Anolis sagrei: one gene and its partners. The protein of the gene in region 2 interacts with the protein of the main gene of each other region in a biochemical or structural test. Links are inferred from orthologs where the notes say so. Each region holds a gene or a part of one and is shown on either strand. Other genes may lie near its edges.

Region 1 (10,697 bases), on a different chromosome or scaffold from region 2:
GCATTCAACACTCCCCCCCCCCCAACTTCATTGCTTCACTACATCGGCTATTGCTGCAAGTAATGACAGTGTGAATAAATTGTCAATATTTACTTGAGATAGTGCTTGCAGTTCTGGAGGGACTGTTAATTTTTTGCGTCTCATAGACTTACCATGGGGATTTGGTTAACCAGTTAAAATTCATGAGTAAACCAGGTTTTTTTTTAACCTGAAAGATTTGGGGAGGGGGTTGAACCCCTAACCCGCCCCTCCACCCCCGGCTACAGGCCTGGTTCAGGGCCCTTTTACAGTTGCCCAGGGCCAGTTTTGGCCATTTGGTGTCTTTTAAAGGTTGTTCAGGGCAAAGAAACACAATATTTATAGAAATACAGAGTTGTCAAAATTCAAATTTCCCGTGCCCGCCCCCTGAGCTGGCCTCGCGGTGATTGGCTGGAGTATCAGCTGGCTGGGAGGTGAGGCTCAGCAAGGCTGGGGTTGTCCAATCAGAGCATTAGCCCCACTTCGGCTGCTCAGCCAATGAGGAGGCAGGAGGCGGGCCGGGTGCGAAACAATTAATGAAATGGGTAAAATGATAGGATTAAGGTGACCAATGTTTGCCCAACGACCCAGTGATAGTGTAGGCTCTCAAGCTGAGTCCAAGTTATTGTTTTAACCTTTTGAAATAACATCTTTGTCTAGCCCCGAGGGCCAGGTCCTTTGGTTTTTCCTTGCTGTGATATGGGGTTCATTGTCAGAGCAGAGACTTGATTTCAGATCAGGATATGACACGGTAGGGAAGCTGTGGCAAAATCCCCGGTTCCTTGCAGATAGGGAATTGCCCTTTATGTTGGCTGATCCAATATGTCCATAGACCCTATTGTTTCTGAATGGCCTGGCTATCAGTCCTTTGAGATCCAGACAGATAGAGCCATTTATTTATTGTCCATGCAAATATGTCTTGGTTGAGTCCTTTGTCTAAGGAATTACTGGCCCAGGAAGTTTGGAAACTCCAAGAGCCATGAGTTGCTGGCTTTATGAAAAAGGTGGCTTCTTCCTTCATTTTTCAAATATTGACATACATATAGGGAATGGGGAAATGGGGTATGGGAGCATACATGGAATCTGAGAGGGGAGGAGGGGAAATCGTGCAGGGTCTAGGAAAGTTCATAACAGCCCCCAAAGTCCATGGAAGTTTATAAACAGTCATAAAAAGTTCATGGGAATCTGTAAAGAGTCCAAAAAGTACCTAGAAATTGTAAAAGTTAATAAAAGTTGACAAAAATCCAGGAAAGTTTCTAAAAAGTTCATAAGAGTTTGTAAGAGTCCACAAGGATTCATGAGGTGCAAGTAAGTCCATGGGAGCACTGGATTGTCACAGTCCATTTAATAGACTGAAGGTTTATTTCATAAATTTTTAGTCCATGACAGGCTGGAGTGGCCTGCCAGAGGTTGGGGGTCCCCAGGGGTGACCACATGGGGCCCCTCTAATCCAGCAGGCTTCTGGGCTCGGGGTAATGTCCACAATGTGAAGGCACAACCATGGCTGCTGCGTGGGAGCCATGGAGAAAGACGTTCTGGTTACCACATGAGGTTCCACCTGATGAGGTGGCATTGTGGGGCACAGGGGTCTGTTCAGCAGAAAGTGAGATAGCAGTTAGTCTCAAATTAGTCCCAGGAAAAGATTGACAGTGGTTTGGAGTCGATCGGTTGACCCGCGGATACGGGGGCCGATGGGTTTCCTTATCCATGGTTCAAAGGAATGCAGTTTCGCCCTCCCTGGGATGCTGTAAGAGCATCCCGGGAGAGCCAGCAGTGATCTGAGGCTCGGAAAAGGAAAGGTTCATTCTGGAAAGTATTTGAGTCAGTAAAGGGACACAATGTATAACTATGAAGAGGAAAAGTTAGAAGGAAAGATGCTTCTTTTCAAAGATCCATGCTCTCAGGAACTGTGGAACTCCCTGCTGCGTGATCAGATCAGCTTGAAGGCTGGGGCCTGCAAGTTCGCCCTCAGTAGTTCAGAGTTTTGCCCATTGAGTGCCTTTTAAAGGTTGTTCAGGGCCTCTTTAGAATTGTTTAGGGCCCGTTTTGCCCATTTTGTGGTTTTTAAAGGTTGTTTAGGGCCTATTTAGGGTTGTCCAGATCTTGTTTTGTCCATTAGGTGCCTTTTAAAGGTTGTGTGGGGCCTCTTTAGTGTTGTCTAGGGTCGTTTTGCCCATTGGGTGCCCTTTAAAGGTTGTTTAGGGCCTTTTAAGGGTTGTCCAGGGCCTGTTTTGTCCATTGGGTGAGTTGTAAAGGTTGGTTAGGGCCTCTTTAGGGTTGTCCAGGGCCCGTTTTGCCCATTGGGTGCCTTTTACAAGTTGTTTAGAACCTCTTTAGGGTTGTCTAGGGCTCGTGATTGCCCATTTCGTGCCTTTTGCCAGTTGTTTAGGGCCTCTTTAGGGTTGTCCAAGGCCAGTTTTGCCCACTGAATGCCTTTTAAAGGTTGTTTAGGAGCCCTTTAATGTTCTCCAGGGCCCGTTTTGACAATTTGGTGCCTTTTACAAGTTGTTTAGGGTCTCTTTAGGGATGTCCAGGGCTTGTTTTGCCCATTGGGAGCCTTTCAAAGGTTGTTTAGGGCTCTTTAGGGTTGTCCAGGGCCCGTTTTTGCCCATTTGGCAGCCAACTCTCCACAAAAGTTGACCTTGATGCCAAACTCCAACCTCGCCTGAGCAGTGCGAGTGCAGCACTGTTTTGAATGAAGCAGGGAGTGATCGAGAAGATACCAAGATGCTTGCTCATAAAGCTGTTGTCCTCTCAATTCTATTGTGAAACAAACTCGAAATCTCAGGATTATAGAGCATTGGCTATTTGAACTGAGAGCATAACTGCATAATGGAGATGGATGCTGTGTCAGTCCAGGAGAGCTCACTTTGGGCTTCATTTTACCTCAGAACCATAATTATTAAAAACTAGCTGTACCCGGCCACGCGTTGCTGTGGCCCATTGTGGAGAAATGGGATAGAAAGAAAAGAGGAAGAGCTGGTTTCTAAGCTATCAATACACAACTGGAGTGGCAAAGTGTCAACCTAATATAGGCCCCTTTTCAGTCTCCTCGAGGCCAACGAGTTTTATGGATGTGTGGAAGGGCCCTGGGTTACCTGAGTCCACACTGTCATATAACCCAGTTCAAAGATATTATATAGATATTATTATTGTTGCTGTTGTTATAGACATATAGATATTATTATAGGCATATAGATATTATTATTATAGACACAATTATTATTATTAAAGGTATATAGGTATTATTATTATAGATGTTATTTTTATTTCATATCAACATTTTATTATTATTATTTACAGTATTTATATACTGCCTTTCTCACCCCTGGGGGGATTCAAAGCATTGCATGAATTAGTAAGGATGGGGCAGTAAGGAAGGCAGGCCCTCCCCAACCGGGCCTGCCTTCTCCCGGCTTCAGGATGGGGTCTCGCCCCATCCTGAAGCCGGGAAAAGGCGGGGGAGGCGGCAGGCGGTGCCCATGCTTTGGGCCCATGCTGCCTGCCCCCTCCCCAACCGGGCCTGCCTTCTCCATCCCCATTCCCAACCACCACCCCCCCTTCCTACCCTCCCTCTCCTCAGTAGCAAGCAATATTTGTTGTACAATGAAAAACTGTCAATAAAGATATTTTTTTTTAAAAAGGATGGGGCGAGACCCCATTCTGAAGCCAGGAGAAGGCGGGGGAGGCGGCAGGAGGCGCGGCTTTGGGCCCGCACCGCCTGCCCCCTCCCCAACCGGGCCTGCCTTCTCCCGGCTTCAGGATGGGGTCTCGCCCCATCCTGAAGCTGGGAGAAGTCGGGGGAGGCGGCAGGCGGTGCGGCTTTGGGCCCATGCTGCCTGCCCCCTCCCCAACCGGGCCTGCCTTCTCACGGCTTCAGGATGGGGTCTCGTCCCATCCTGAAGCCGGGAAAAGGCGGGGGAGGCGGCAGGCGGTGCCCATGCTTTGGGCCCACACCGCCTGCCCCCTCCCCAACCGGGCCTGCCTTCTCCTGGCTTCAGGATGGGTTCTCGCCCCATCCTGAAGCTGGGAGAAGGCGGGGGAGGCTGCAGGCGGCGCGGCTTTCGGCCCGCACCGCTTGCCCCCTCCCCAACCGGGCCTGCCTTCTCACTGCTTCAGGATGGGGTCTCGCCCCATCCTGAAGTCGGGAGAAGGTGGTGGAGGCGGCAGGCGGCGCGGCTTTCGGCCCGCACCTCCTGCCCCCTCCCCAACCGGGCCTGCCTTCTCATGGCTTCAGGATGGGGTCTCACCCCATCCTGAAGTCGGGAGAAGGTGGGGGAGGCGGCAGGCGGCGCGGTTTTGGGGCCGCGTTGCCTGCTGCTTCTCGACACCCCGCGGGCCAGATAAATGCCCTCGGCGGATCAGGTCTGGCCCGCGGGCCGTCGTTTGAGGACCCCTGTGTTAATCCCACAGACCAACATTACGTTTTTATTTATATAGATTGAATTGAATGGTAGACATGTAGTGAATAGGAAAATATGAAGGAAAAACCAACAATTTCATATATTAGTCCCAGTAATTGTATGTTTAGGATGTGTTTTTTACTCTAGGTTTGTTTCATTGTAGGTTTACGTGTCTTCTATCAAATTTTTTGTGTTTTTCTTTTTCCTTTCATCACCCTTTAAGAAGAGAAGCAGTTTTCTGGGCATTTCTAGGTTTGAAGAGATTTGAAATCTTCTTTTCCATTTTGTCCGACATTCTCCCTCATAGGAAAAAAATGGATTACGGAACATTTCCTTTGAATATTATGCTTCAGATGAGGCCTTCCCATATTTTTACATCTGACCCTCATTTTTATCCCCCCTTTAAAAAAAAAGAATTACTTGTGTTCTGTTTGTTTGACAGGGCTGGATAAGTGTTCTCCTCATATTGTGTCAAACCAAGTTGTGTGTATTGTGCATGGAATTACAGAAATGACTTTGGAAAAAGTGCTTATATTGGGTTTTCTTGACCTTTTATGATTTTTTGGTGGAGAAACATGTCTACACCGTGGTTTGGAAACTCCCAAAAACTTTACATCGTTGGGTTCTGTTGATTTTTTTTGGTCTTGATTTTACCTCAGAAATTACCTCAGAGAAAGAATAAAAAGGCCTTTAGAGAAGCTTCTGGCGCCCCAGCCAATAGGAAACGGGAACAGTCCCGCACGCGGCGAGGCCCCGCCCCCAACAGCTCTTCGGCGCGCTCATTGGCTGAGCTGCTTAAAAAGTGCAAGCGTCGCTCAGCAACAGGGCTGTTTTGGCCCTCGACGCCCGCCGTAGTTCGTTGGCTTGTCTCTTCGCGAAGCCCGAGTGCCCGTCAGTCGCGGCGATGTCGCGGGAAGGGGCGGAGGCGAAGCCCGTCACAGTCAGCGACGTGCAGGAGCTGATGAGGAAGAAGGACGAGATCGAAGCCCAGATCAAAGCCTACTACGAAGTGCTGGACGATGTAAGGAAGAGGGACGGGGGAGCCCAAACCCGGGACTACAACATCCATCATCCCCAGAAAGGCCCGTAGCCAGGATTTTGATTGGGGGGGGGGGGCTGAGTCTGAGCGAGAGAGGGTCTACCCTAGCAAACCTTTTGTATTGTTACCCCAATACCCCTATGCATATGGGATATATTGAGCATGGTGATCAGATCATGATATGAATAAACATAACAGTTTAAATAATGTACCACTAAGGCCTTCTCACAGACCACCATCAGAATTTCGGCTACATGCCTGTCCCCAGAGAAGCTTTTGGGAATGGGTTTTGCAATCCAAAGCTGGTGTGACAGGCCTCAGATTTCCCCAAGCTTCAGCAGGAGCACCGAAAGTCTTTTCTCTGCCTTTAAAATATAATATCTGTTGCTCTTGAACCTATTATTAGCGACTTTATTTCTTTCTTTCGCCTGGTTTGGAGAAATTATATCTTCTTGATCTAAAACTACAGGTTGTGTGTTTCTTATCCACAATCGTTCGGACCAGAATTGCTTGGGATTTGGTGTGATTTCTTGTCCATGGGATTCTTAACAACAACAACCTCATTTATGCTTCATCTTCGCCTTCTACACATAGCTTGAAGGCAATTTTGCCTACGATAGAACCCGCTGAAAGCAACTGCAGTGGACAGTTGTATGTTTCAGAGTGTTTTGGAATCCCAGGTAAAAGATGCTCAACCTGTCCTAACTGCCCTGGTCCCCTAGCATGGAGCCCTGGCGGTTAAAGTGGTGTCAAGTTGCATCAGTTCTACAGTGTAGGTGCACCCCTCACTGGGATCCCCTCTACACTGCCATATAATCCACATTATTTGCTTTGAACTGATTATATGAGGCCCCATCAACTCTGCAATATAACATCCAGATTATCTGCTTTGAACTGGATTATGTGACAGTATAGACTCAATGTATTGTCGAAGGCTTTCATGGCTGGAATCACTAGGTTCTTGTGGGTTTTTTCGGGCTATAGAGCCATGTTCTAGAGGCATTTCTCCTGACGTTTCGCCTGCATCTATGGCAAGCATCCTCAGGTTGAGAAGGTCTTCTCAACCTCTGAGGATGCTTGCCATAGATGCAGGCGTCTCAACCTCTGAGGATGCTTGCCATAGATGCAGGCGAAACGTCAGGAGAAATGCCTCTAGAACATGGCTCTATAGCCCGAAAAAACCCACAAGAACCTAGTATAGACTCAGATAATCCAGTTCAAAACAGATAATCTGGATTATATGGCAGTGTAGATCCAGCCTGAGGGCCCTTCCAGACAGACCCTATATCCCAGGATCTGATCCCAGGTTTTCTTTTTATCCCAGATTATCTAACAGTGGAGACTCATATAATCAGATCTAAAGCAGAAAACCTGGGATTAGATCCTGGGATATAGGGCCTGTCTAGAAGGGTCCTGAGTCCACACACTGCCATATAATCCAGTTCAGAGCAGATAATCTGGATTTTATATGGTAGTGTAGAAGAGGTCTCAGGTAAGCATCCATGGAATTGCAACCTTCATTACTTCTTTGATGGCTGATAGCTTTTATGGCAAGGTTGAGAGCCACTGTGCTTCTGACAGTTGAATGGAAGGGGTTGTATTCCCTCCTGTTATTAGAAGCAAGATATTAAATGCATCATGTTATGTGTAGGAAATCCCCCCTTTTCCCACTCCTTAATTCCCCTGGTTATTGGTTAAACTGATGCAAAATGCTCATTACTTTGAAAGGCTTTGGTCCTCATGTGCTGAGTCACTGGAGAAGGCCAAATGTGGAGCTCCAGCTATTGGCATTTTGCTCCTGAACAAGACATTGGGGTATATTTTTGGAAGAGTTTTTCTTCCCGTCCCTTTTGTCAAGTTAAACCAGGATGACTGAGGCTGGATCTACACTGCCATCTAATCCAGATTGCACTATGCAGCACGATTGTTGTTCCTAGGTTATACATGTAATTCCCTAATTGGCTCTATCATAAAAACATGGAAAAGTGTGTCAAACATCCTGCAGCACTTTTGCTCTTAGTTTTTCAATGATTCTGTCATAAGAGTCTCAACCAATTCAACCTAGTTTGTGGTGGCCATAAAAATGAAGTTTTTGGAGTAGAACAACTATTTTCAAAGTAGGTATCACACAATTAAACAGGAAATAACACTTTCAAACTAGGAACAGATTTTTTTCAAATGTTATATAGTGTTATCAAAGCAGATGATCCACATTAGCTCCTTTGAACTGGATTATATGAGTCTACACTGCCATACAATCCAGTTCAAAGCAGATGATCTCGATTTTATATGGCAGTGTAGATCCAGCAATAGACAACCCATTTTCAGCAATGTGGGGTGGGACATTTTCCATTGTATATCTCTCCATAATTTCTTTTAACCCAAACTTGTTCCATAGATTGTATTAACAACACAGAAGTTCAACGGTGGCAACTGGAATAAAGTTGAATCTAAAATTAAGTTTATTTACCTTTCTAGGAAGTGTGTTATTATTTACATAACTCTACAGGAATGCTAAAATTCACTGTTGTCTCTGCCTTTATTTTTTAAATCATAATATAAGGTTAACTACTGAACTGTTTTACTGAACTGTCTCATCATTAAAGGTTTACATGCTTTCCTGTTGTTAAAAATGCCTAAATAATGCTTTTAATTTAATTAACTGAAGTTTTAGAGCACTGTGTAGTTAGTTATAGAGGTATTTTTGCCAATCGGATATTTTAGTTCAGCTGTTTTTGGTATAGAAAACAATGCTTGTGTGATCTTTACAGCATATTAAATTAACACACTAAAATTTTTGCCCACTAAATAAAAATCAAATGTCTAAAATCCACTTTCCCTTGACTGGCTTTTTTCTAAGCCCCATTGAACTCAGTTGACTAGGATTCCAGCTTCAGTGAACACGATGTTAAGCTGTGTGTTTTGTAGCAAGCTCCTATTTTGTATTTCCTACAAAATAGCTCTGCAAAGTCACTTTGTTCTCCTTTTACCCTGCAGCAAAAAGGTGTTGGGATGCATGAACCCCTTGTGGATGTTGAAGGCTATCCGCGTTCAGATATTGATCTTTACCAAGTCCGGACAGCAAGACACAACATCATCTGTAAGTATTAAGTCCTTAATTTGATTGATTGTTAGTTCTAACTTAGTTCCATCATGCACAGTGGTGCTTACTTCAGGATTACACCCTGATTTGAGGGGGTTTTTTGGCTTGGAAAATGGGATGGGGATCCAAACAGGAAAAAAGCCCAAAACCTATCAAGAGTCTGAGGAGTAGAAATGCATACATATAAAGTTAAGAATCAAGAGACCTCTGAGCCAATGTTGTGTCTGGGCATCTGTTTCCATCATTTTTATGTAATAGATCTTCTCTATTAATGGTGGAGAGTGGACAAGATCAGAGATAGGCCAGGGTTCTCAGTGGGTGACAATACCAGTGTAACTCCCTGCTGCCCACCCCTGCCTTAGGTTATGGGTTTATTTTGTCTCTAGGTCTGCAAAATGATCACAAGGCTTTGATGCAACAAGTGGAAGAGGCGCTCCATCAGCTTCATGCCCGGGATAAGGAAAAGCATGCAAGGGATGAGGCGGAGGCTCGAGCCGAAGCTAGAGGCCAGGGCCTGCCCTCGCCTCAGCCTTTTGCCAAGGTGAACGCCATCACCCCAGGATCCCCGGCAAGCCTTTCGGCAAGTACTGACGCTCCTTGCTCTTGGTATCTGTCAGTCTGGTTTTTATTCTGGTTGTCAACCTAAGGGCAAATCACCTTGACTATGTTTCCCTCTGAAGGGCTTGCAAGTTGGTGACGAGATTGTGGAGTTTGGCTCAGTGAATGCACACAACTTCCAGTCGCTGCAGAATATTGCCACTGTGGTGCAGCACAGCGAAGGGGTAAGAATGAGGGATATTATTATTATTATTATTATTATTATTATTATTATTAGGACTTTGACCACTAGGCAGGTGAATTTGGGAGTTCTATTTTGTGTGGCCAAGTTGAACAATTGACCAGTGGTAGAGAAGGAGTTTAGTTTGTATCGATGACCCTGTTAGCTTCTCTTTTTAATTTTGCCTTGGGAATTTGAGACTAGAAAAAGATAATGGAAGCTAAGAACTGACTGGCCTGGACAACTATAGCCCAACCTGGAGAGCAATCCAGGCTGAACATATGTGTATTGTGTTACTTCTCTCTGCCCATAGAAAGCATTAAGTGTGACTGTGATCCGTGGAGGAGAAAGAATGCATCTGGGCCTCACCCCGAAACGCTGGAGTGGCAGGGGGCTTCTGGGGTAAGCATGCGAAACACCTCTCTGGTAGTGAAAGCCACAGCTTTTTGTATAATGCTTTAGACCAGTGGTTCCCAACCTGTGGTCCATGGACCATAAGAATGAAAATATGGTCCACGGCCTCACCATTACTACATAGTTGCCTGGAAACCACGCAGCAACAAGAGCGACTGGTCTCGCGAAACCCTCTTATAGTGCCAAGGCAACAGGGATCTCGGGAGGGGAGAGGCTGACTACCCACAAAAGATTGCTACTACCACATCAGTTCTAGATTATTAAATATGGTTTTCTGTGGGCCAGCAGATGGCGACTACTGAATGGCATATGTTCTGTATCAGAAACTAGAGTTGATGTCATCTATCAAATTAAGTTTTCTGAATCAACACCCTAAATAACCAAACCAAATCTAAAGTTGACCAAAAACTGATTCGTAACCCTTTTGCTACTAATGTTGGAAAGTGGTCCCTGGTCAAAAAAAGGTTGGGAACCACTGCTTTAGTCAATAATATAGAATACATCTTGTTCTCTAAACCTGCTCCCTTCTTAAATGAGGCACCAAGATGGGGCTTGGCCAGAGTAGAATATGATGGGACTATTACACCCATAGAATCCTAGAGTTGGAGGAGACCTGGTGGGCCATCCAGTCAAACACCATTCTGCCAAGAAGTAGGAAAATTGCATTCAAAGCACCTCCGACAGATGGCCATCCAGCCTCTGTTTGAAAGCCTCTCTAAAGAAGGAGCCTACACCACACTCCAGGGCAGAGAGAGAGTTCCACTGCTGAACAGCTCTCACAGTTGGGAAGTTCTTCCTAATGTTCAAGTGGGATCTCCTTTCCTGTAGTTTGAAGCCATTGAATCAGACATCCCCTGATCTGGAAACTATGCCTCTATTAATGCAGGCTAAAATCACGTTTGCCTTCTTTGCTTCAGCATCACTTTTTTGCTCATGCTCCTC
Region 2 (11,432 bases):
TATTCTCTTTAAATACTATTATAAATTTAGAAATTCATTCTTCTACTTTTAGTAACATTCTACTAATTCTTAAAACCTACAATAAACAACTCTCTCCCCATTATGGAAATCAGAATGTAGTACAATTATATCAAAATCCCCATATCTGAAAGTCTGGTACTTTCAGCTGTCCCACCTAGGTCCAATAAAACATTCCCTTCTCGGAATTTTCTAGATCCTCCAGACAATAATATGGTATGCTTCTGTTAAAAACTGACATTGCTGGAATAACTAAAAAATTCTTTTCTGTTTCTCCCAGCAACGATCTAAGGTATCTTCCAGTGGAGGCAGTTTTTTTCAATAGGGTTTGTTATTATCCAATTTCCTACAAGGGCTATACTATATACTGAATGGTACACAAACATTCCTAAAGCTGTATCATGACAATTTAACAAAACAGATTTAACTATAAGTTGTATTACATGGAAAGTAAGCAGTGAAGAAAAAGATGTAAAATTTAGCATCAGTTATGACACAACAGCTATCCATATCTATGCTACTCTACAGCAGCAATTCTGGCTTACTAACCACTGGCACTCAAACTGAAAACAGAATGCATGGCCCACTGTTCATTCACAAAATAGTTCAAAAATCCAGGATTTCAGGTTTAAAGCAATGTGCAAACAACACTGGTAAATGACATGTTGCAATTATTATGATGGGCTCCCTACTGAAACTAGGAACTCGCAAGACATTAGAGGCACCAGGACCTTGAAGAAATCATGTTGCATTGCAACAGGGACACCTATGAAACCTCAAAGAAGGATTCTGTTCTGTGATCCTATGCCCCCCTCCCCCCAACTGCAAAAAGAAAGCTCAAAAACATGTTATTTCTGGTTACTACAATTACAGGGCCATAATTTTATCTTTTGAAAAAACTATATCCAGTAATTACCCCTCCGCATTCATATGTTACATATTTGTTATAGCAAATATACGGTACTGGGGTGCAACTCTTACTTTTAAAAAAGTTTTCCTCTAAACAAGGATGTACAAGATTACCCCACTTAAGCAAATGAAGTGATCTAACTTGGACTATCTGTTCCACTTCTCTTCATCTCCCTATAATCCCCTATACATTTACCAAACCAACACCAAATTGCTTCCACAATCCATTCACTCCTTTAAATACAGCAGACAATATCAATAACATTTTAGAACAGTGTGACTCAAAGTGGTGGTCCCCAAACCAGTGCTGGTCCCTGAAACATTGGATGCTGTTCTCTGGCAAGCTTCCAAGTGAGAAGGAAACAACTGTTGACAATGGGCAGAAATTTGGAGGGGGGGGGGTGGTTGCTGGTAGCGATGTAAATTAGATTCGATGGTACATTAATAATAATAATAATTAAAAAAACTTTATTTATACCCCGCCACCATCTCCCCAAAGGGACTCGGGGCAGCTTACATGAGGCCACACCCATCAATACAATATACACAATATAACACAAAAATACAACAGAAAATCAGAAAATAAATTAAAATACAAAACCAATGTATATAAACAACACAACAATATAAAATCAAAACATTACGACATCAAAAATGATCACCATGGGCAGGGCCAAATTCAGGAATTAAAATTTTTAAACACTGTAAAATATCAAGGAGGGGTTCCGGGGGATGAGGTAAGATTTAATTGCACAACAAGAAAATAAAGTGCTTCTGAGGGCATTTTATGCAGAGTTTGGTCAGAGATTATCATGTAATCAATCACTGAAAGCATATTGGAACAGCCAATGAATCACATACCTAAACCTTTTTGCACTGCTGGGCAAGAGGAGAGAGGGGCAGCAATGGCTGTGAAAACACTGGTAGGAAGCTGATGGTAGCCATGAAAAAACTGGTAGGAAGGCCAGACAGAAGGCACAGCTTCCCAACAGCCTTTTTACAACCACTACTACTTTGATTTACATTCGATAGCAATTCCTGTTTTTGTAATGCATACCTTCAAAACGAAGGTGCACATAACATTCAATGACGCATTATACTCAAATAACTATGGGCATTGATCCCATGAAGATCAGTACTTGCTCCTGATATACTTACTTCATTGAAATCAGTTCCTATGTGGGCGTGTGGCAGAGTCATTTCATTACCCTTAGCCCCCTTTTATACAGATTGAATAACTCTTATCCAAATTCTTGGGCTCAGAAGTGTTTTGGATTTTAGAATACTTACATTTGCATATATATACTTAATGAGATAGCCTGTAAATATACACATAACCTAAAGATAATTATATAGAATGGCGTTTTTATTATTTTTGTGCATGAAACAAAGCTTATGTATGCTGAGCCATCAGATAGCAAAGATGTTATCTCAGCCACCTATGAGGAAGATATTGGATTTTGGAATTCCAGCTAAGTGATGCGCAATCTGTATTACATTACAACACTCAATAAAAATAAGATTCAAAGCAGAAATAACATTGGAGGAAATGATCACAAAAGAATCCACCTGCCAAAATTTAGAAAGTCAAGCAAAGGAATATTTGTTGTGTTCCAGGTCTTAGTTCTTGCACAAGAATATTTCTTTATGCTGCTCCTCATAGTAAATGCTTTCCCACATAGAAGATTACAGAATTTACAGGCACATACATTGTTCTAGTCTACTTCAGGACATTCCTGACCATTTTTTCAACACCCCACACCTATTGATGGATTACACAACACTTAGCAATAACTAACTTTATCGAAGTCTTGGCGGAGAAACACAAGACTAGGTAAGATTTTCAAGTTATTATATTTCAGGCACACTTTTCAATTCAATTTGGGTCGCAATGTAAGAATGGAGAAGTCAAAATGGGACACTAAATATTACAATACTGTATAACTAGAGTATAACTATATGATGTTTGACTATTGTAGATGGGTCTATACATTGCACAATAGACTTTCAGTTAACTGGAATTCAAGCAACCAGAACTCTCAAGCTATCAAAGAAATAATCAGATCAGACCCCACCTGTTTGAAATACCTTTTAAATGAACTGCAACAGAAGCCTAGTATTTTGTAGTATTTTATTGTCATATGGAAATTTTAGACTGCTTTTAATTTAATGGTAATTTTTAATTTTCTATAAGGGAGCATCCATTTAACTCTTTTGGGTTGTTTTAATCAATGGTTTTATATTATACTGTATGTTTTAATGATGTTGTGAATTACTTTGGGTCTGCTGGAGAAAGGCGGTATAGAAATTCCTGAAATAAATAAGTAATACTGTATACACAAAGCAATTTTTAAAATACAGCAAAACTGTGATGTTATGTTTGGCTTTATTTGCTTTTAATTACTGTATTTCAGTATGAATATCAAGTCAATACAGAGCATATGATATACTACAGTATGTAGTATTAGCTAGACCTATTTTAAATTGTAACTCTCAAGCAACCAGACCCTAATTTATCTGGCAACTGCCTATACATTTAAAATCTATTGCTTCTCTTTTCCCTTGAATTGCATTATCATTATTATACTACTCTGCCTTTCCCCCAAGATTAGGACTGAAGGCAGCTAACAAATTAATGATCACAATAGTTTAAAAAAAACATTGAGAGTCACTATTAAAGTAAAATCAAACTATTAAACAATTCAAAATACACTTTAACGCAAGGCTGGGCAAGGTAAGAGTGAAATTCCACCCACCAAAATATTTTTTTCTTTCCCCAAATATTCCAATAAGGGTTGCGATGAGTATTTTTGAATTTTGGATTATGTGATTTTAACATTAAGATGTTAAAGCTATGTTTCAATTGTCTAAATGTTTGTGTTCTGTTTAATATGATTTTAATGGTTTCATTTATAGTTATATGTATTGTTTTAGTTATTATGTTTGGTGTGTATATATCTCGGCATTGAATCTTGCCATTACTTGATATACACCACTTTGAGTCCTATCCCCACCCCCCGGGGTGTGAAAAGTGGTTTTGTTTGTTTTGTCATGTCAGAAGCAACGTGAGAGACTGCAAGTTGCTTCTGGTGTGACAGAGTTGGCCGTCTGCAAGGATGTTGCCCAGATGATTGGATGTTTTTATCATCCTTGTGGGAGGCTTCTCTCATGTCCTCGCATGAGGAGCTGGAGCTGATAGAGGGAGCTCATCTGTCTCTCCCCGGATTTGAATCTGCGACCTGTCGGTCTTCAGTCCTGCCGACACAGGGGTTTAACCCACTGCGCCACTGGGGGCTCCTGTGAAAAGTGGTGTATAAACACAGTCAATAAATAATAATATTAAAAACCCACCTACTCAGCACTGAAGAAGTCTCAGTTCTTAGGTTAAACTACAAAAATACATGACACAGATTATTTTTCGTTAAGATGGGTATTGCTGAAATAATATTTCCATTGAAATTTAGCATCATCTCAGGCCCCTTCCACACAGCTGAATAAAATCCCTCATTATCTGCTTTGAACTGGATTATATTGCAGTGTGAATTTAATGTATTGTCAAAGGCTTTCATGGCCGGAATCACTGGGTTGTTGTACGTTTTTTCAGGCTATATGGCCATGTTCTAGAGGCATTCTCTCCTGACGTTTCACCTGCATCAATGGCAAGCATCCTCAGAGGTAGTGAGACAAACGTCAGGAGAGAATGCCTCTAGAACATGGCCATTTAGCCCGAAAAAACCTACAACCCAGTGTGAATTTAGATAACCCAGTTCAAAGCAGATATTGTGGAATTTTATGCCTTAATATTCTGGGTTATATGGCTGTGTGGAAGGACCCTGGGAAAACCGCTGCCCTTTCTGTTTTTAAGTCACCCAAGTTTATGGGATTCCGAGCTTTTTAAACTATCGCTTTGCAATGAGGGCAGCCCCGGCAAACGTTAGCAGGCATTGCCAATTTCTTGAGCAAAAGACAAGAGACACGCACAAGATCTGAAGGGCTGAACGGTCTGCCATGTTGGCGGACCGCAGAGGTACTGAAAGGACATGGACAATTCATAGGTCCCTGGATATACTGGAAATACAAAAAGGTTTGAGATTGAACAAGAAGAGCATTAGAACTAGTTCGATCATTCACTGAATCATGGACTTTACTTAAAAGACTTTGATTTCTTATTATTATGATTACTATTATTGAAAAGCAGGCCCTTATGAGCAGCACAGACCACAAGAGGGCAACTGACTTCCACGAGGGAGGAGGTTCCTGGCGGGAAAGCCGCAAACTCCGCCCGCCCACACCCACACTCCTCTTGATTGGAGAGCGCGCACGTCGCTCGAGAGGCATTCCACCAATCCCGCGAAAGAATGAGAAGCGCCCGCCCCCTCGGTCAACCCCTCCCTCCTCCCTCTCAGCATTCTCTCGCTCGGGCCGCCTCCACACCCTTCGACCCGCCAGGCTGTCACTCATGCAAGCTGGCCCCGCCCACCCTCAGGCCCCGCCCCCTCTTCCAACGGTACCACAGTGCGGTTCAGGCAAGCTCCCAATCACGCCGAGACCACGCCCCCTCCCTCTAAAGGACCGGCTTTCGCTAGCACGCCGCCCGCCGAGTTATTTCCCGTGGTCGCTCACCTGGGAGAGTGGAAAAAGTAACGGCTCGGTGCGGAACCAACTTCCCCCACCCCCTCACAACCGCCGCTTCTGCGCAACGCCCGCCAAAACAGGTTCGCAGTGCGCACGCGCCGAGCTGCCCCCCCCCTCCGCCCCTTTCTCGCGCTGGCGTGAGGCGCGCGCACCGCTCCCAGCGTCCCTCCCTCCCTTCCTCCTGTCTGACACAAGAGTGAACTTAAGGCGCATGCGTGGCTTTTGTAGGCCCCGCCTCACCGTTTGCTGCTGCTGTTGCTGCCTGGAAGCAAGCTTTTATAGATCTGAATGGCCCTTTCCACCTCTTTTATTCTAACCCCCGCTGCCACCTTCGCCAAAGGCGTTGCATACAGTTCTTGGGACCGTTAAAGGAAAAACGTTCTAAGGCTGCCAACTTAATTCCCGCCTCTGTTAAAATGAATGAAAAGAAAGCTGACCAACCGGAAAAATGGAATCCGGGTATGTAAGCCAATCACAAGAGAGATGCGTTCTAAATTGGCCAATAAAGGGAAAGCTACCATGGAGAGGGGGCGGGTGCTGCCTCAGAAATGGCGGAGGACAAAATTGAGGAGTGACAAGTATCTTACCCAATAGCAAGCGAACGGAGGTGGGCAAGCCGTGCGAAAAAGGGCGAGGTCACTATTCTGTTGTCCAATAGGTTGCGGCCAATCTGCCCGCTGCCCAATGGGAGAGGAAGCGGCTTAGGAGACTGACCAATCGTGGTTGGCCGGGGGCGGGCCTTAGTAGTGAAGCGCCGGGGCGCTGCTGACTCTGCCTCTTTCCGCCTCAGCTGCAGAAGAAGGAAGAAGCCGCGTTGGGGAGGAAGCCGGGCTAGGCCTCGCCGAGTGAATATCGCCACCATGTCGAAGTCTGAGGTAAGGTCCGCCCGCGGGCGTTTGTGTCGTGTTGTTTCGAAACCAAACCTGTGGCTTGTTTTTGTGGAATTATGTTTCCTTTGCCTTTAGGGATCGTCCGATTACGGGTGCGATATGTCTCCTAACGAAGTAAGTGTTAAAAATCCTCCCCGCGCCAATGCTGGCTGTTTTTTCCCCCCTATTGGCCATTTTTGAGCTTCTGCTTCGGCCTCCTTCCCCTTGCCGCTTGGGCCTGCTTTTCCTCCACCTTCCCCGGCCACTACGCATGCGCGCTGGCTTCCCGGGGCAGGCGCCATCTTTTACAGTGCGTGGCGTTCTAAGCTTTCCCCCGGCGCCTGTAATGGCTGCGCATGCGCTGTGCAGTCCAGCAGGCTTTCTCTGGAGCGCATGCGCGCCGTAGAGCACAGCTTTTCCCCCTTGAGCTCTGTGCGGGGGATGGGAAAGGGCTGAGCCACGTGATCGCTCGCTTTGTCTCTTGAGCCCAGAATCCTCATTGATTCCATTTCGAACTTGAATAAACCCATTTGATTCATTGTGTCGAAGATTATGCAGTTTGATACAGCTTTAACTCCTACGGTTCAGTATCATTCTGAGAGATAGCCTTTTGTAAGGTCTTCAGCCTTCTCTGCCAAAGAGTGATGGTGCCTCACCAAACTACAACTCGTAGGATTCCATAACATTGAGACACAGGCAATATAATATATTATATGTACTTATAATATTGATTGTAGTATTATAATGTAATACAATATAATACTAATACAGTATAATCTATATAAACAAAAATGTAATGTTCGTTTGTGGGATTAACATAAATCAAAAACCACTGGACAAATTGACACCAAAATTGGACACAATACACCTATCAGGCCCATGAGTGACTATCACTCATAAAAACACTGAAAAACACTGCAGAAGGGAATTTAAAAGAGAAAAAATACATTACAACGCATTTGCCAAACCATATATATATATACACACACACATGCACGCAAAACGCAGACTGGGCCACAGCAATGCGTGGCAGGGGGTGGCTAGTAACATAATAAAATATAATAATTATATAGTACATGTAATATTACTAATAATTTTGCATCATAATGGTGTAGTACAATATAATAATATATGATGCTAGCATTGTACTATGCTAATAATGTAATATATAACTTGTAAGCTGCTCTGAGTCCCCTTCGGAGTGAGAGATGGCAGGGTATAAAATAGTATAGTAAATAAATAAAATAGCAATTAAATTATTAAACTACATAAATTCCATGTAGATGGACATCTTGCCTGAGAAGCATTCTGGACTCAAGCACCTTAATTATTCAGCCAGTTACACTGCTTTTGTAGTATTTAGAGAGAACTGTGTTGGTTTTGGAATATCAATCTGCAATTTTGTTGCAATTTAAAGACTACCTGACTATCCATCAGTTTTTGAGAGACCGCTCTCCCCACTGAGTTGGAGCCAGCCAGACATCGCTCCATCTTATCTTATTGTATTATATCGTATTTATATTGTAATTGTAAAAGTAAATTAATATTTTGGAAAACACCGAGCCTTTGTGACTAAAGAGTGGACTATAAATAAATAAAATAATAATGCTCAAATTTACAAAAGCTAATGCTACCAACCTGTTTTCCTCAGCCTTTAGAATGCCATTACATCCCTTTCCTTTCTTCCATACTCCACCCTTTCTAAGTTGGCGAGGTGGTCGTTACACAGTTCATTCCAAAATCTGCTTTTTATGCTTCTGTTATCTGGTGCATGGTCATGAAAGCAAAACATATTCCCATGTTGCCAAGACCCATGGTGCTCTTTCTGTGGATCCTCTGCACTATATTTACATAGACCAGAAAAAACACTTGTATTTGCAGGCAGCAGTCTTGAGCAATAGTATATATCCTTAGTCATTCATTGTAGCATGCCTTAAAAATTATTTGCTGTGGAGTCTTTAAAAATGCAATAATTTCCCCCAATGGTATGTTTATTTTTTCAGTGGCTCAATTCTGGGTTTTTTAACAGGTCTGCTAGTCAGTTTATTTATATTGCCCAACTTAATTATTCTGACAATTATGTGTGCCAGAAGTGCTGAAAACACAGGAAATGAGGCAATTGTCAGCAAAACCTATATGCTGTAATTTTCAACTCTCTTACAAAATTATGCTGCAAAACACTCTTTGTTTCAGTGTAGAAATTGAGAGAAACCCAGAAAGTACTTAAAGAAACAGTGGCATAATCTGTAATATTTGGAATCTGTGCCTAAGTGCTCCCAATGAAGTTTAAGACTTTGTAGTCAAGAGTAAGTAACATGCTAGTTTCACAAATGCTTGTGGCATGGTAAGAGTGTTTCTTTTCATTTACAGTAGGAGCTCTGCCTTCACAGGGGTTAAAGATACAGGACCCCTCTGAAATGGGAGAATCACAATTATTTTCTTTTTACCTGTGAAAATGCCTCTAGGACTCTGTTCTGGCAAAGGGTGACCATTGAGTAATTTTAGAGGACTTGGATATTCCTAAAGAGAGGATAGTACTAAAATACACAAAATGTAGACGGCGAACAGTTGAGTGAACATATTCTGCAGAACCATCCGGGCAATTTTACTTGTTGTTTTATCACCTTGCTTTTTTCTCTTTTAGTCCCCGAAGGAGCCTGAACAGCTGCGCAAACTGTTTATTGGGGGCCTCAGTTTTGAGACAACAGATGAGAGCCTTCGCAATCATTTTGAGCAATGGGGGACACTTACAGACTGTGTGGTAAGTATCTCCAGCATCTTGAGCACAGCTATTACAAGGGAAACATTTCTGGTTTGGACTGGATTGGGTATTGCAGCTTAAAGGACAGCACACCTAACAAGTATTAGAGAAGCTATTGAAAAAGAAGGGGGCATATTGTTCCAGCATGTTGGGGTGGGTTGGAATTAGTACTAGCTTTGATTTTCCCTTTTGTGTTAATGAAATCTGATATACTGGATAGGACAAATGTGAAGTTACCTTATTGCAAGTTAATCTTAGGAAATCCAGCTCATGAGCTTGGTGGGTATTATATCCTTGGAGTGTGTGTGTGTGTGTGGCTTATGAACTATGGCTGCACTTGGCTTGACAAGATTTAATGCACCCATAATTTCAAATTCATTTAAAACAAGGCATTTGCTGGTTGTTTCCCAGCAACTTCAGTGGGAGGGGTATCTGTGAGAAAAGGGTTGGTCTTTAATATATTTGTTCTGTATCCACTATTAGTTTCAGTGCTACCCATACTTGATATATGACACCACCAACAAACCTTAAGGAAAGTGGTTGCCCCCACTTGGTATATGCAGAACGCAAAATGAAATACTGATTTGAATACTTCATTCTAGGTGATGAGAGATCCCAATACTAAGCGCTCCAGGGGCTTTGGATTTGTGACATACTCAACAGTGGAAGAGGTTGATGCTGCCATGAATGCCAGACCACACAAAGTTGATGGTAGAGTTGTTGAACCAAAGAGAGCTGTATCCAGAGAGGTAAGAACTGCTCTTCAGTTTATTGTAACAGGAATAGATTGAGGTTCTGTACAGGCAGTCTCCAAGTTACGAGCAAGATAGGTTCTGTAGGTTTGTTCTTAAGTTGAATTTGTATGTAAGTTGGAACAGTTATATTTATTAAATCATAACGCCAACCTAATATAGTCAGATGGGTACAGGGTCCTCATCTTTCCTTGTAATTCTTGCTACAAACATCTTAGGTTGCCTTTCTTGTTTTTAGATATATGAAGGTAGAGTCCTAAAAGTGAATTAGGATAAAGAGACACTGAGGAAAACTATGTATGTTTGAAAACTGCATGAATTTTTAAAATAATTATATCAAATATATAAGCGTTGGATAGCCTAGGGAAGAGTGGTGTTTGTTTTACTGCCTGTTCAGAAGATTTCCTCTCATCTTCTGTCCCTGTGATAATTGGATTTCGAAAAAGGTGGTTTGTTGTGGAAACAAGAATTGATGCTGAAGTTCAATGGAGACACCTTTTCTTCATGATAACTTCTGGGAGTGAATTTCCCTTCTGGGGGATAGATTTCCTCTCACTTCCTGCTCTCTCTGTCAGAAATATTTAAAAAAAATTAACTGAGTATTTTTGATTACAAAAGTGGGAGTCAAGCACTGAAAGAGTTAGTAGGCCGAAGTCTTGTGTAAGAGCTCCAGTGTGAAGAGTGCTGCGTGTAAAGCTGCTATATATTTATTTGTGTTACAGAAACCTAGTAAATAGTGCAACCATATTATTTTTCTATAAAGAAAAGCCTCCAATGGAAGAAATAACATTGGGCTGTGTGTTTTTGTTCTTTTTATCACTTTTGGCTACTGGTGTTGGGTCACGCGGCTGCTGATAAGTTACTACTGTACATTTATGAGTAGGGTCTTGTTACGAAGCCCACTCGCCTATGACTCATTTGTAAATCGAATCTTTGTAATTCGGGACTGTTTGAAGCCCTTCTCAATAGGTGAAGACTGGAAACATAGCCATGTCAGGAAAATTTATAAGATAAATAAAAATAAACCAGTTCACTAAGCTATTTATGAGTTGGTATCATTATTTGCTCTGTGCCAGTGATGACCGTGAATCTTCTATGGAGAGCAACTTACAAGTCAGAACATAAAATGCGATGCCCATAAAAAGACCATGTTCCTCTTCACTAGTTTTGGGATCAATTTATTCCATTATAACAGTGACATAAAAATGTTACAATGAAGCCTTAGTTTTGTGTTGACCTTTACTTTCTTTAAATCTGCTTGATTCTGAAATCTGGATTTATTGAATAAAAGGCTGACAAGTATACAGTAACATTGGGATTATTGCCTTGATTGACAATGTAGCACCATACATCTTTGGAATATCAGATAACCCAAGTTTTTAATTAAACCAGTGGTATGAACTCTATGATAACTTTCTCCAGTAGAAATAACTGCAAAGAAAGCTTCACAGGTGTGATACCCAGTTTTTCTTGCCTTGCTCTGTAGGA
Region 3 (11,163 bases), on a different chromosome or scaffold from region 2:
TCAAATAATAATAATAAAGATCTCGTTTGCTGTGACACACGGTGATTTTGTGACAGCAACATAATAATAAAAATATTGAATAATAATAAAGATCTAACTGCAAAGACTCTGGCATAAGCCAGTCAAGGTGGCCCCAGCGGTGATCGGCACACTGGGATCAGTGCCTAAAGACCTTGGCCTGCACTTAAACACAATCGGCACTGATAAAATTACCATCTGCCAGCTGCAGAAGGCCACCTTACTGGGATCTGCACGCATTATTCACTGATACATCACACAGTCCTAGATACTTGGGAAGTGTCCAACATGTGATCCAATACAACAACCAGCAGAGTGTCTGCTGTGGACTCATCTTGTTGTGTTTCTAATAATTATATAGATCTCATTTGCTGTGACATACTGTGTTTTTATGTCAGTAACATAATAATAATAATAATAATAATAATAATAATAAATCGAACTGCAAAGACTCTGGCACAAGCCAGTCAAGGTGGCCCCAGTGGTGATCGGCACACTGGGTGCAGTGCCTAAAGACCTTGGCCTGCACTTAAACACAATCAGTGCTGACAAAATTACCATCCGCCAGCTGCAAAAGGCCACCTTACTGGGATCTGCATGCATTATTTGCTGATACATCACACAGTCCTAGACACTTGGGAAGTGTCCGACGTGTGATCCAATACAACAGTCAGCAGAGTGTCTGCTGTGGACTCATCTTGTTGTGTTTCAAATAATAATAATAAATAAATAAATCATGAAATTATTATTATTATTAACTTTATTTGTACCCCGCTAACATCTCCCGAAGGACTCGTGTGGCTTACAAAGGACAAGGCCCTCAATAAAACAACAGCATAACAAATACAACAATAAAACTCATAAAGCAAACCAATAAACATTAAAGCAATAACAATAGAACATTAAAACGATTGCATCAAGTGCCTAGACACCATCAGCATTTGTAAAAATGTTGGCACTTTTATTGAAAATATGATAAAGCACTGGAAAACTGAACTGTTTGTTGGAAATGAAAACTACGTACTTGTCAACATCAGGAAAGGAATCCTCCAGGGAGACTCATTGTCCCCACTGCTATTCATCATTGCCATGATCCCTCTGTCAACAACCTTACAAAAAACAAACCTGGGCTATCAAACATCTAAGAAATCTCACAAAATTTCACATCTGCTGTACATGGATGACCTGAAACTATATGGGAAAACTGAAACTGAAATCCACTCTCTGACTAATACTGTCCGAACCTTTAGCACTGATATCAACATGGAGTTTGGTTTGGACAAATGTTTGACACTGGCACTGAAGAAGGAAAAAATCATTGAAAGTGAGGGCATAAATATGCCCATTGGCCAAGCAATCAAGTGTCACCAGCCAGAGGCCTATAAATATATGGGCATACTACAGCTGGACAACATCAAACATGAACATGCGAAAACTGTGGTCAGCAAAGAATACATTCAAAGGGTCAGAAAAATTCTCAAAAGCAAGCTCAATGGAGGCAACACCATCAAGGCCATAAACACTTGGACCATGCCTGTCATAAGATACACTGCTGGTATCATAAACTGGATGCAGGCAATTTGGAAAAACAAGAAAACTCATGACCATTCATAATTCACTGCACCCTCACAGTGATGCTGACTGGCTCTATCTGCCTAGAAATTCTGGTGGCAGAGGACTTTTACAAGTAAAACAAGCAGTTGAAGAAGAAAAACATGCCCTGGCAGAATATGTCAAGGAAAGCCAGGAACCTGTTGTAATTGAAGTCAATAATCGGAAACTTCTCAAAGCACAGCAGACTATGAACCAGTACAAGAAATCTGCACTCCAAACTAGAGCTGACAGCTGGCACAACAAAGCATTGCATGGGAAGTTCCTTGACAAAATTGAAGGAAAAATTGATAAGGAGAAGACCTGGTTGTGGCTGAAGAAGGAGACAGAAGGCCTGATTCTTGCAGCCCAGGAGCAAGCCATCAGAAGAAATTCAATTAAGGCCAGAATTGAAAAATCAGCTGTTGACCCAAAATGCAGTCTGTGCAAGGAAGCTGATGAAACCATTGAGTATATCCTCAGCTGCTGCCAGAAAATCGTACAGACGGACTACAAACAAAGACACAACTCTCAGATGATTCACTGGAACTTGTGTCACAAGTACCAACTGCCAGCAGTAAAGAATTGGTGGGATCATAAACCCGCAAAGGTCGTGCAACATGAACATGCAAAAATACTGTGGGACTTTCAAATCTAGACTGACAATGTTTTGGAACACAATACACCAGACATCACGATTGTGGAAAAGAAAAATGTCAGGATTATTGATGTCGCCATACCAGGTGAAAAACAACAGGAAAAACTCAGCCGCTATCAAGACCTCAAAATCGAACTGCAAAGGCTCTGGCATAAACTAGTACAGGTGGTCCCAGTGGTCATTGGCGCACTGGGTGCTGTGCCAAAAAATCTCAGCTGGCATTTGGAAACAATAAACATTGACAAAATCACCATCTGTCAACTGCAAAAGGCCACCTTACTTGGATCTGTGCGCATCATTCGAAAATACATCACACAGCCCTAGACCCTTGGGAAGTGTTTGACTTATGATTTTGTGATACGAAATCCAGCATATGGATCTCGTTTGCTGTGACATACTGCGCCTTTGTGTCAATAATAATAATAATAATGCTTTTATGATATGCCAGTCTGATTCCTCTTCAGAAGAGATAAAGTGGGGTGTAAATAATGATGATGATGATGATAATAATAATAATAATAATATCAATCAGTTAAATAAAATTGAAATAAATACACAAATAAAATGGAAAGAATCGTTAAATGAATAAATACATTTAACCAAATTGATTTTAAATAAAGTAAATGAAGCAAACTAATAAAAATTGTAGAGTGATGGCAAACTACAGCTCCCAATAGGATCCCATAGCATGGAGCCAAGGAAGTTAAAGTGGGTTTAAACTTCATTCATTCTGCATTGTACATGCATTCTCCAGTGCCTTAGGGGGTGCATCTACACTGTAGAAGGAATGCAGTCTGACACCACTTTAATGACCTGGCTCCATGCTATGGGATCCTATTGGAAGTTGTAGTTTAGTGAAGCACCAGCACTCTTTGGTATCAAATTTGATTGATTCTAGTGCAGGCATGGACAAACCTCGACCCTCCAGGTGTTTTGGACTTCAACTCCCAGAATTCCTAACAGCCGGTAGGCTGTTAGGAATTTTGGGAGTTGAAGTCCAAAACACCTGGAGGGTCGAAGTTTGCCTGTGCCTTTTCTAGTGTATAGATCTCTTTTTCTCACCTCCTTCCTGTTCTCTATAGAGTCGGACGTGAGTCTAGGCACATAGACGAATTTCACCACTGCAACTTAAAATTCTCAATGGTATCTCGACTGAACCAATGAGCTTTCAAGAGAGAATTCTGGGTTTGTGAATGGCACACCCACTTTGTCCTTACTAGGAGAGCTCTGGCTGGAAATTATCCAATGAGGCTTTAGGATTTTTTTTATTGACAGGCAATCTATCCAATAGCTGATCGCACAAGCAGAAAAGGCTGTTCTTCGTCGCTGAGTGACGTCATGCCCTTCCATATAACATTTGACCTTGGCAATGAATGAACACAAACCAATGAAATAAATTACTGTCCTTTCCAAATTCGGATTGACATGTTTGTCTGCCAATACAGATTTGTCAATAATTTATCCTAAATGATGGATATGCCATTCAGCCAATAAGGAAATGAAGGCTTTTTAATGACACTAAGTGAATACTATCAATGGGGGTAAAAAAAAAAGATTGATAGGTGATGAGTGTACACTGTAGACTTAATGCAGTTTGATACCGCTTCAACTCCCACGTCTCAATTATATGGAAATTTGGGCTTTGTAGTTTTCGGCATTTCTCTGCCTTCAGCATGTTAGGCCCCTTGTATAGTCCCAAATAAAATCCAGATTATCTGCTTTGAAGTGGATTATATGTCAGTGTAGAGTCATATAATTCCATTCAAAGCAGGTAATTCAGATAATCTGCTTTGAACTGGATTATATATCAGTGTAGACTCACATAATCCCATTCAAAGCAGATAATTCGGATTATCTGCGTTGAACAGGATTATATGACAGTGTAGACTCGTATAATCCGATTGAAAGCAGGTAACTTGGATAATCTGCTTTGAACAGGATTATATGTCAGTGTAGACTCATATAATCCCATTCAAAGCAAATAATTCAGATAATCTGCTTTGAACTGGATTATATGTCAGTGTAGACTCATATAAACCGATTCAAAGCAGATAATCCGGATTATCTGCGTTGAACAGGATTATATGAGTCTACACTGACATATAATCCCGTTCAAAGCAGGCAATTCGGATAATCTGCTTTAAACAGGATTATATGTCAGTGTAGACGCATATAATCTGATTAAAACAGATAATTTGAATTATTTCATTTGAACTGGATTATATCTGTGTAGCCTCGTGTGATCCAGTTCGAAGCAGATAATTTGAATTTTCTGATTTGAACTGGATTATATATCAGTGTAGACTCGTGTGATCAGGTTCAAACCAGATAATGCGTATTATCTGGTTTGAACTGGATTGTATGTCGGTGAAGACTCATATAATCCGATTCAAAGCAGATAATTTGGATAATCTACATTGAACCAGATTATATGTCAGTGTAGACGCATATAATCCAAGTCGAAACAGATAATTCGGATTATCTGGTTCGAACTGGATTATATGTATATCAGTGTAGACCAATGTGATCCGGTTCAAAGCAGACAATGCGGATTATCTGCTTTGAATTGCATTATATTGGTCTTCACTGATATATAATCCGGTTCATTTGCGGATTATCTGGTTTTATAATCTGAGTTATATGGTTGTGTCGAAGGGCCCTAGGTTACATGGCAGTGTATTTATTTATCGTGTCAGGACAGTCAGTCGATTATATTACATTTCTAACAGAACAAAGCAAACAAACAGAGAAAATACAAAATGTGTGAGTTTGGTAGTTAATTAAATGTCCTTTGACCAGTATCTGGCCACTTGGAGTGCTTCTGGTGTTGCTGCAAGAAGGCCCCCCATTGTGCATGTGGCAGGGCTCAGGTTGCATTGCAGCAGGTGGTCAGTATAGAAGGAGCTTTATATTGTCATGTACTTCTTGACAATTAATGCATCGTTTATGGGGCTAAAGAGAACCTCTGTTCTTTGATTGTCAGTTTCGTTAACAAATCCGTTTCTTTGTCCCACCCCTTTGAAACAAAGCAACCAATGATGATTGAGAATACGGAACCCTTTGCTTTGACAGGCATTTCCATCACCAATAAATCTTGGAATATTAGCTCCAAAACCCGCCTCCCTCTTTTAATTGGTGGTCGTTTCTTTTCCGGACCAATCATATTTCATACTAACAAACGGGCCCGCCTCTTGGTTCGTGATTGACAACGCTCTGTTCTTTGGGTGTCTTAAACCAGGCATGAGGCAAACTTCGGCCCTCCGGGTGTTTGGACTACAACTCCCACAATTCCTAACAGGCGGTAGGCTGTTAGGAATTGTGGGAGTTGTAGTCCAAAACACCCGGAGGGCCGAAGTTTGCCCCATGCCTGTTTCTAAAAGAAAAAAAGCCCGCCTCTTTTACGGAAAGCACCCAATGGGATTCGAACGTCGGTTTGATGGAAGATCCCGTCGAAGAGTGTGTCGCGTCAACCAATGGGAAACAAGGAGGCGGGGCTTATTTCCCCACCTCTTTCTCTTTCTCGGGAGTGACAGCGGAGCCACCCAATCGGAGGGAGTCCCACCTCCTCGGCTGAACGAGAGCGTTGAGGGGAAAGGGGAGGGGGCGGGCGCGCGAGACGGCTTCTCTCTCTCTTTCAGCGTCTCATTCGCAAGATGGCGGAAGCTGCAAACTGCATCATGGAGGTGAGGGCGCGTGGGAGGGGTGGAGGGAGCGGGAGAAAGGGGGAAAGGGGCTCCAGGGAGGCCTCAGGCCCCACACACCCCTTCCCCATCGAGCCCGGGCCCTTTGGGGGGACCTTTAAGGAGGGACCCCCCACTCCCTTCCCATTCAAAGGCCTGTCCGCCCCTCATAGTGAACCCCAGGGCGCTTTCCCCCATCCTCGAGGGTTCCTTCTCCTTCCAAGAGAAAGAAAGGCCTTTGGGTCTCATTGGAATCCCCTCTTCTCCTACTGAAGGTTTTATTTTCTCTCCCCACATCAGTATGAGGAATGGATTTTTCTGATTTATTACTATTATATATCTTATTAGTTTATGATAATTTCCCCACATTGTTTTTAGGAACGCATGCTTCCCTGATTTGTTATTATTATAACCCAATTTTTGATAATATTCTAAGGAACATATTATTATAATATTATATTTACACCCCAGTTTATGATAATCTCCCCACATTGTTATTAGGAACACATGCTTCCCTGATTTTTGTTATTATTATAGCCCAATTTTTGATAATCTCATTCTAAGGAACAGAATATTATTATATTAGATTTACATCCCAGTTTATTGTAATCTCATTCTAAGGAACAGATTATTATTATAATATTATATTTACATCCCAGTCTATGATAATCTCCCCATATTTTTATTAGGAACGCATGCTTCCCTGATTTTTGTTATTATAGCCCAATTTTTGATAATCTCATTCTAAGAAACAGATTATTATATTATATTTACAGTTTATTATAATCTCCCCATATTTTATTAGGAATGGATGCTTCCCTGATTTTTGTTATTATTGTAACCCAATTTTTGATAATATCATTCTAAGGAACAGATTATAATAATAATATTATATTTACATCCTAGTTTATGGTAATCTCCCCACATTTTTATTAGGAACGCATACTTCCCTGACTTGTTATTATATCTTAATTTTCGATAATCTCATTCTAAGGAACAGATTAATATTATTATATTTACACCCCAGTTTATTATAAGGAACGGATGCTTCCCCGATTTTTTTTATTATAGCCCAAATTTTGATAATCTCATTCTAAGGAACAGATTATTATTATAATATTATATTTACACCCCAGTTTATGATAATATCCCCACATTTTTATTAGGAATGGATGCTTCCCTGGTTTGTTGTTATTATAACCCAATTTTTGATAATCTCATTCTAAGGAAAAGATTATATTATATTTACATCCCCACATTTCCCCCCCTCCATATTCCAGAATATCAAGACAAAATCCCACAATGGGCCCTTCTACACACACCCCTATATCCCAGAATATCAAGGCAGGAAATCCCACAGTATCTGAGTGTGGACTCAGATAACCCAGTTCAAAGCAGATATTGTGGGATTATATGCCTTGATATTCTGGGATATAGGGCTGTGTGGAAGGGCCCTGAGTCCACACTGCTCACTTGATATGTATCATCATTATTGTAGGATATTTTCAGATCATCTCCCAAAATTATTCTGAGAAATAATGAGGAGTAATAATTATTATTATCCCAATTTTTGATAATCTGATCTCCATAAGGAACAGATTCTTCCTACTTGATATGTATTATCATAATTATAGGATATTTTCAGATCATATCTCCACATTATTCTGAAAAATAATGAGGAATAATAACAATAATATTCTAACCCAATTTCTGATTATCTGATCTCTGTCAGGAACAAATTCCTCCTCACTTGATCTCTATTATCATTATTATAGTATAGTATATTTTCAGATAATCTCCCCCACATTATTCTGAGGAATTAGTATTATTATTTTATTATTCTATCCCGATTTCTGATAATCCGATCTCTATCAGGAACAGATTTTTCCTTCTCACTTGATATGTATTATATAATAATAATAATAAACTTTATTTATACCCAGCTCGGCTTACATGAGGCCATATAATTATAGTATATTTTCAGATCATCTCCACATTATTCTGAGGAATAATGAGGAGTCATTTTTATTATATTATTATATGATTATTGATATGAATTATTATATCCCATTTTCTTAACGAGGCTCAAAAATACTACAATTTAACATCGATGGATTGTAATATAATATTTTCGAATTTCTGATCATCTCCCCACATTATTCTGAGGAATAATGGGGAATCATTTTTGTTATTATATTATTATTTCCCAATTCCTGATCATCTGATCTCATAAGGACAGATTTGTCTTCCTCATCATTTGATATGTATTCTGATATTCAGTGGGTGCTATGAAATTATGCGGCCTCCTTTTCTCTAAAGCTGGTTCCCTCCGCAATTCGGCTGCTTCCCTCCTCATGGTCCCCGCATGGCATGATGGCACGCCTCGCCCCGGAGGGCCCCGCCTCCTCCGGCCCGTCCAGCCCCGCCCCCGCCCGTCTAGGAAGAAAGCGCGCCGGGCCCCGAGAAATCCGCCTCCTTCCTCCCCTTTTGTGGACGGATCCCCTTCCTTTCCTCACCCCAAACCGCCTGGAGCTCTCTGCCCCATAGAGATGCCCAGAGCGCTTCATGCTCCCTTCTCTGTGCCAAGCCTGCAGCCATCTATTGGGATGAACCTAAGGACACGTGGAGCACGTCTGCACTGTCTCCCCAATGGCGCTCTTTGTCCAGAGAGAAGCCTCCCACCCCTGGAATAGCATGGGATGTTTCCCCTGTTCATTGGAGCCATTTTTCCTCCAGCACCGTAAGAGTGCAGTAGACTCTTAGGCTCCTTCCACACAGCTCTGTACAATCGACATTGAACTGGATTATATGGCAAGTATGCACTCCTAACCCAGGGCCCTACCATACAGGACCTATATCCCAGGATGTGATCCCAGGGTTTCTGCTTTAAACTGGATTATATGAGTCTGCACTGCCAGATAATCTGGGATAAACAGAAAACCTGGGAATCACATCCTGGGATATAGTGCCTGACTGGAAGGTCCCCAGCCTCAGAGCCCTTCCACATATATGAGTGTGGACTCATATCCCAGTTCAAATTAGATATTGTGGGGTTTTCTGCCCTGATATTCTGGGATATAAGGCTGTGTTGAAGAGCCCCCAGAACATCAAAGCAAGAAATCCCACAAAATCTGCTTTGAACTGGGTTTTCTGAGTCTACACTGCCATATACACTCCCCTAACACCAGTTGCTACTCTGGGACCAGAGGAAAGAGGGATCCAGGGTTTCTTCTTTAAACTGGATTATATGAGTCTGCACTGCCAGATAATCTGGGATAAACAGAAAACCTGGGATATAATGCCTGACTGGAAGGTCCCCAGCCTCAGGGCCCTTCCACACAGCCCTATATCCCAGAATATCAAGGCAGAAAATCTCACAATATCTGCTTTGAACTGGGTTATCTGGGGGCCCTTCCACACAGTCATATAACTCAGAATATCAAGGCAGGAAATCCCACAATATCTGCTTTGAGCTGGACTCAAAGGGGACTCAGAGCAACTTACAAGTCATATACAATACAATAAATAAAATAAATACAATATCTTCCTGGGGCCCACTTTTCTCTGGTCCCAGAGTAGCAGTTGGTGTTGGGGAATGTATATGGCAGTGTAGACTCAGAAGACCCAGTTCAAAGCAGATATTGTGGGATTTCATGCTTTGATGTTCTGGGAGCCCTTCCACAAAGCCCTATATCCCAGAATATCAAGGCAGAAAATCCCACATTATCTGGGGCCCCTTCCACACAGCTGAATAAATTCCTACATTTTCTGCTTTGAACTGGGATATATAGCAGTGTGAACTCATATCCCAGTTCAAAGTAGATATTGTGGGATTTTCTGCCCTGATATTCTGGGATATAGGGCTGTGTGGAAGGGCCCTTGGAATATCAAGGCAGGAAATCCCACAAAATCTGCTTTGAACTGGGTTATCTCAGGGCCCTTTCACACAGCCCTATATCCCAGAATATCAAGGCAGAAAATCCCACAATATCTGCTTTGAGCTGGATTATCTGAGTCCACACTGCCAAATATTCCAGTTCAAAGACGAAAACGTGGGATTTTATTCAGCTGTGTGGAAGGAGCCTCTGTCCACACTACCATATATTCCAGTTCAAAGCAGATAATGTGAGATTTTATTCAGCTGTGCGGAAGGGTCCTCAGTTAACCAGAACCCATGGAAATTGGTATATGCTAGATACATGTAGGACCCCTCCACACAGCCCTACAACCCAGAATATCAATGCAGAAAATCCCACAATATCTGCTTTGAACTGGGTTATCTGAGTCTACACTGCCATATAATCCCGTTCAATGTGATTATATAGCTGTGTGGAAGGGGCCTCAGTTTGCTGGCACTATAGGGATTGGTAGATGCTGGATCAACTACTACTTCTGGTTGTTTGAGAGTTACTACTAAAAATAAACCAAATTCTATATCCCCATACTCTACTCTACCATAAGCTGTTTATTACTTGATTTTAACATTATAGTCTTTAGAAACAAATAAAGTCCAATGAAGGCAAATTTAACTTAATGTAATCCAGCTTTACTACTAAAATAGACCCAACTCTATATCCTTATACTATACCATACACTTAACTCTGTATTGACTTGATTATAATATTGAAATATAGTCATTAAAAACAAATTAAGAACAATAAAAGAAAATTGATTTAACATAGCTTTACTGTACAGGCAGTCCCCAAGTTACAAACATCCAACTAACAAATGACTCAGAGTTAAGAACGGTGTGTGTGTGAGTATATATATATATATATATATATATATTCCCATACTATACCATAAACTCTATATTGACTTGATACTCATATTGAAATGTAGTCATGAAAACAAATGAAGACTAATAAAGACAAATATTGTTTAATGTGACAGAGCTTTACTGTAAAAAAGCTTTTTTTAAGTTAAAAGTACTATTTCTTCCTATTTTTTGCTGGTTGCTTATATTCCAGTTAACTGTGTTTTTAGGTTGGGCATCCCTTTTCTGAAATTCAGCCATAAAAGTGGCTGAGATAGTGGCACCTAACATTCAGATGATTCAGTGGACCCAGAAGATTAGTTTCATACACAAAATTATTAAGTATAATATTTATAAAAGTAACTAAGCTATGTGTAGAAGGTATGTCTGAAACAAACAAACTCTGTATTTAGATGGGGGTTCCATCTGCAAGAGATCTCATTTGTATATGCTAATATTCC

The links.
Region 1: the proteins of HNRNPA1 (region 2) and PSMD9 interact in a test that uses a peptide from one of them, tested with the Homo sapiens proteins (3 studies listed by BioGRID and IntAct, with this or other methods). The link is inferred for Anolis sagrei from reciprocal best matches to the Homo sapiens genes HNRNPA1 and PSMD9.
Region 3: of the proteins of HNRNPA1 (region 2) and PRMT1, one has a biochemical effect on the other in vitro, tested with the Homo sapiens proteins (3 studies listed by BioGRID, with this or other methods). The link is inferred for Anolis sagrei from reciprocal best matches to the Homo sapiens genes HNRNPA1 and PRMT1.

What each region holds. Positions count from the first base shown.
Region 1 is NC_090034.1:32,225,729-32,236,425, reverse strand, and holds the start of PSMD9 (26S proteasome non-ATPase regulatory subunit 9), read left to right. Parts: upstream 1-5,261; 5' UTR 5,262-5,325; coding exon 5,326-5,442; intron 5,443-8,457; coding exon 8,458-8,560; intron 8,561-8,949; coding exon 8,950-9,143; intron 9,144-9,243; coding exon 9,244-9,345; intron 9,346-9,654; coding exon 9,655-9,743; intron 9,744-10,697. UniProt on the Homo sapiens protein: Acts as a chaperone during the assembly of the 26S proteasome, specifically of the base subcomplex of the PA700/19S regulatory complex (RC).
Region 2 is NC_090022.1:188,552,275-188,563,706, reverse strand, and holds the start of HNRNPA1 (heterogeneous nuclear ribonucleoprotein A1), read left to right. Parts: upstream 1-6,315; 5' UTR 6,316-6,422; coding exon 6,423-6,437; intron 6,438-6,527; coding exon 6,528-6,566; intron 6,567-9,075; coding exon 9,076-9,192; intron 9,193-9,794; coding exon 9,795-9,941; intron 9,942-11,430; coding exon 11,431-11,432. UniProt on the Homo sapiens protein: Involved in the packaging of pre-mRNA into hnRNP particles, transport of poly(A) mRNA from the nucleus to the cytoplasm and modulation of splice site selection.
Region 3 is NC_090026.1:22,287,062-22,298,224, forward strand, and holds the start of PRMT1 (protein arginine N-methyltransferase 1), read left to right. Parts: upstream 1-5,834; 5' UTR 5,835-5,919; coding exon 5,920-5,949; intron 5,950-11,163. UniProt on the Homo sapiens protein: Arginine methyltransferase that methylates (mono and asymmetric dimethylation) the guanidino nitrogens of arginyl residues present in proteins such as ESR1, histone H2, H3 and H4, FMR1, ILF3, HNRNPA1, HNRNPD, NFATC2IP, SUPT5H, TAF15, EWS, HABP4, SERBP1, RBM15, FOXO1, CHTOP, MAP3K5/ASK1, MICU1 and NPRL2.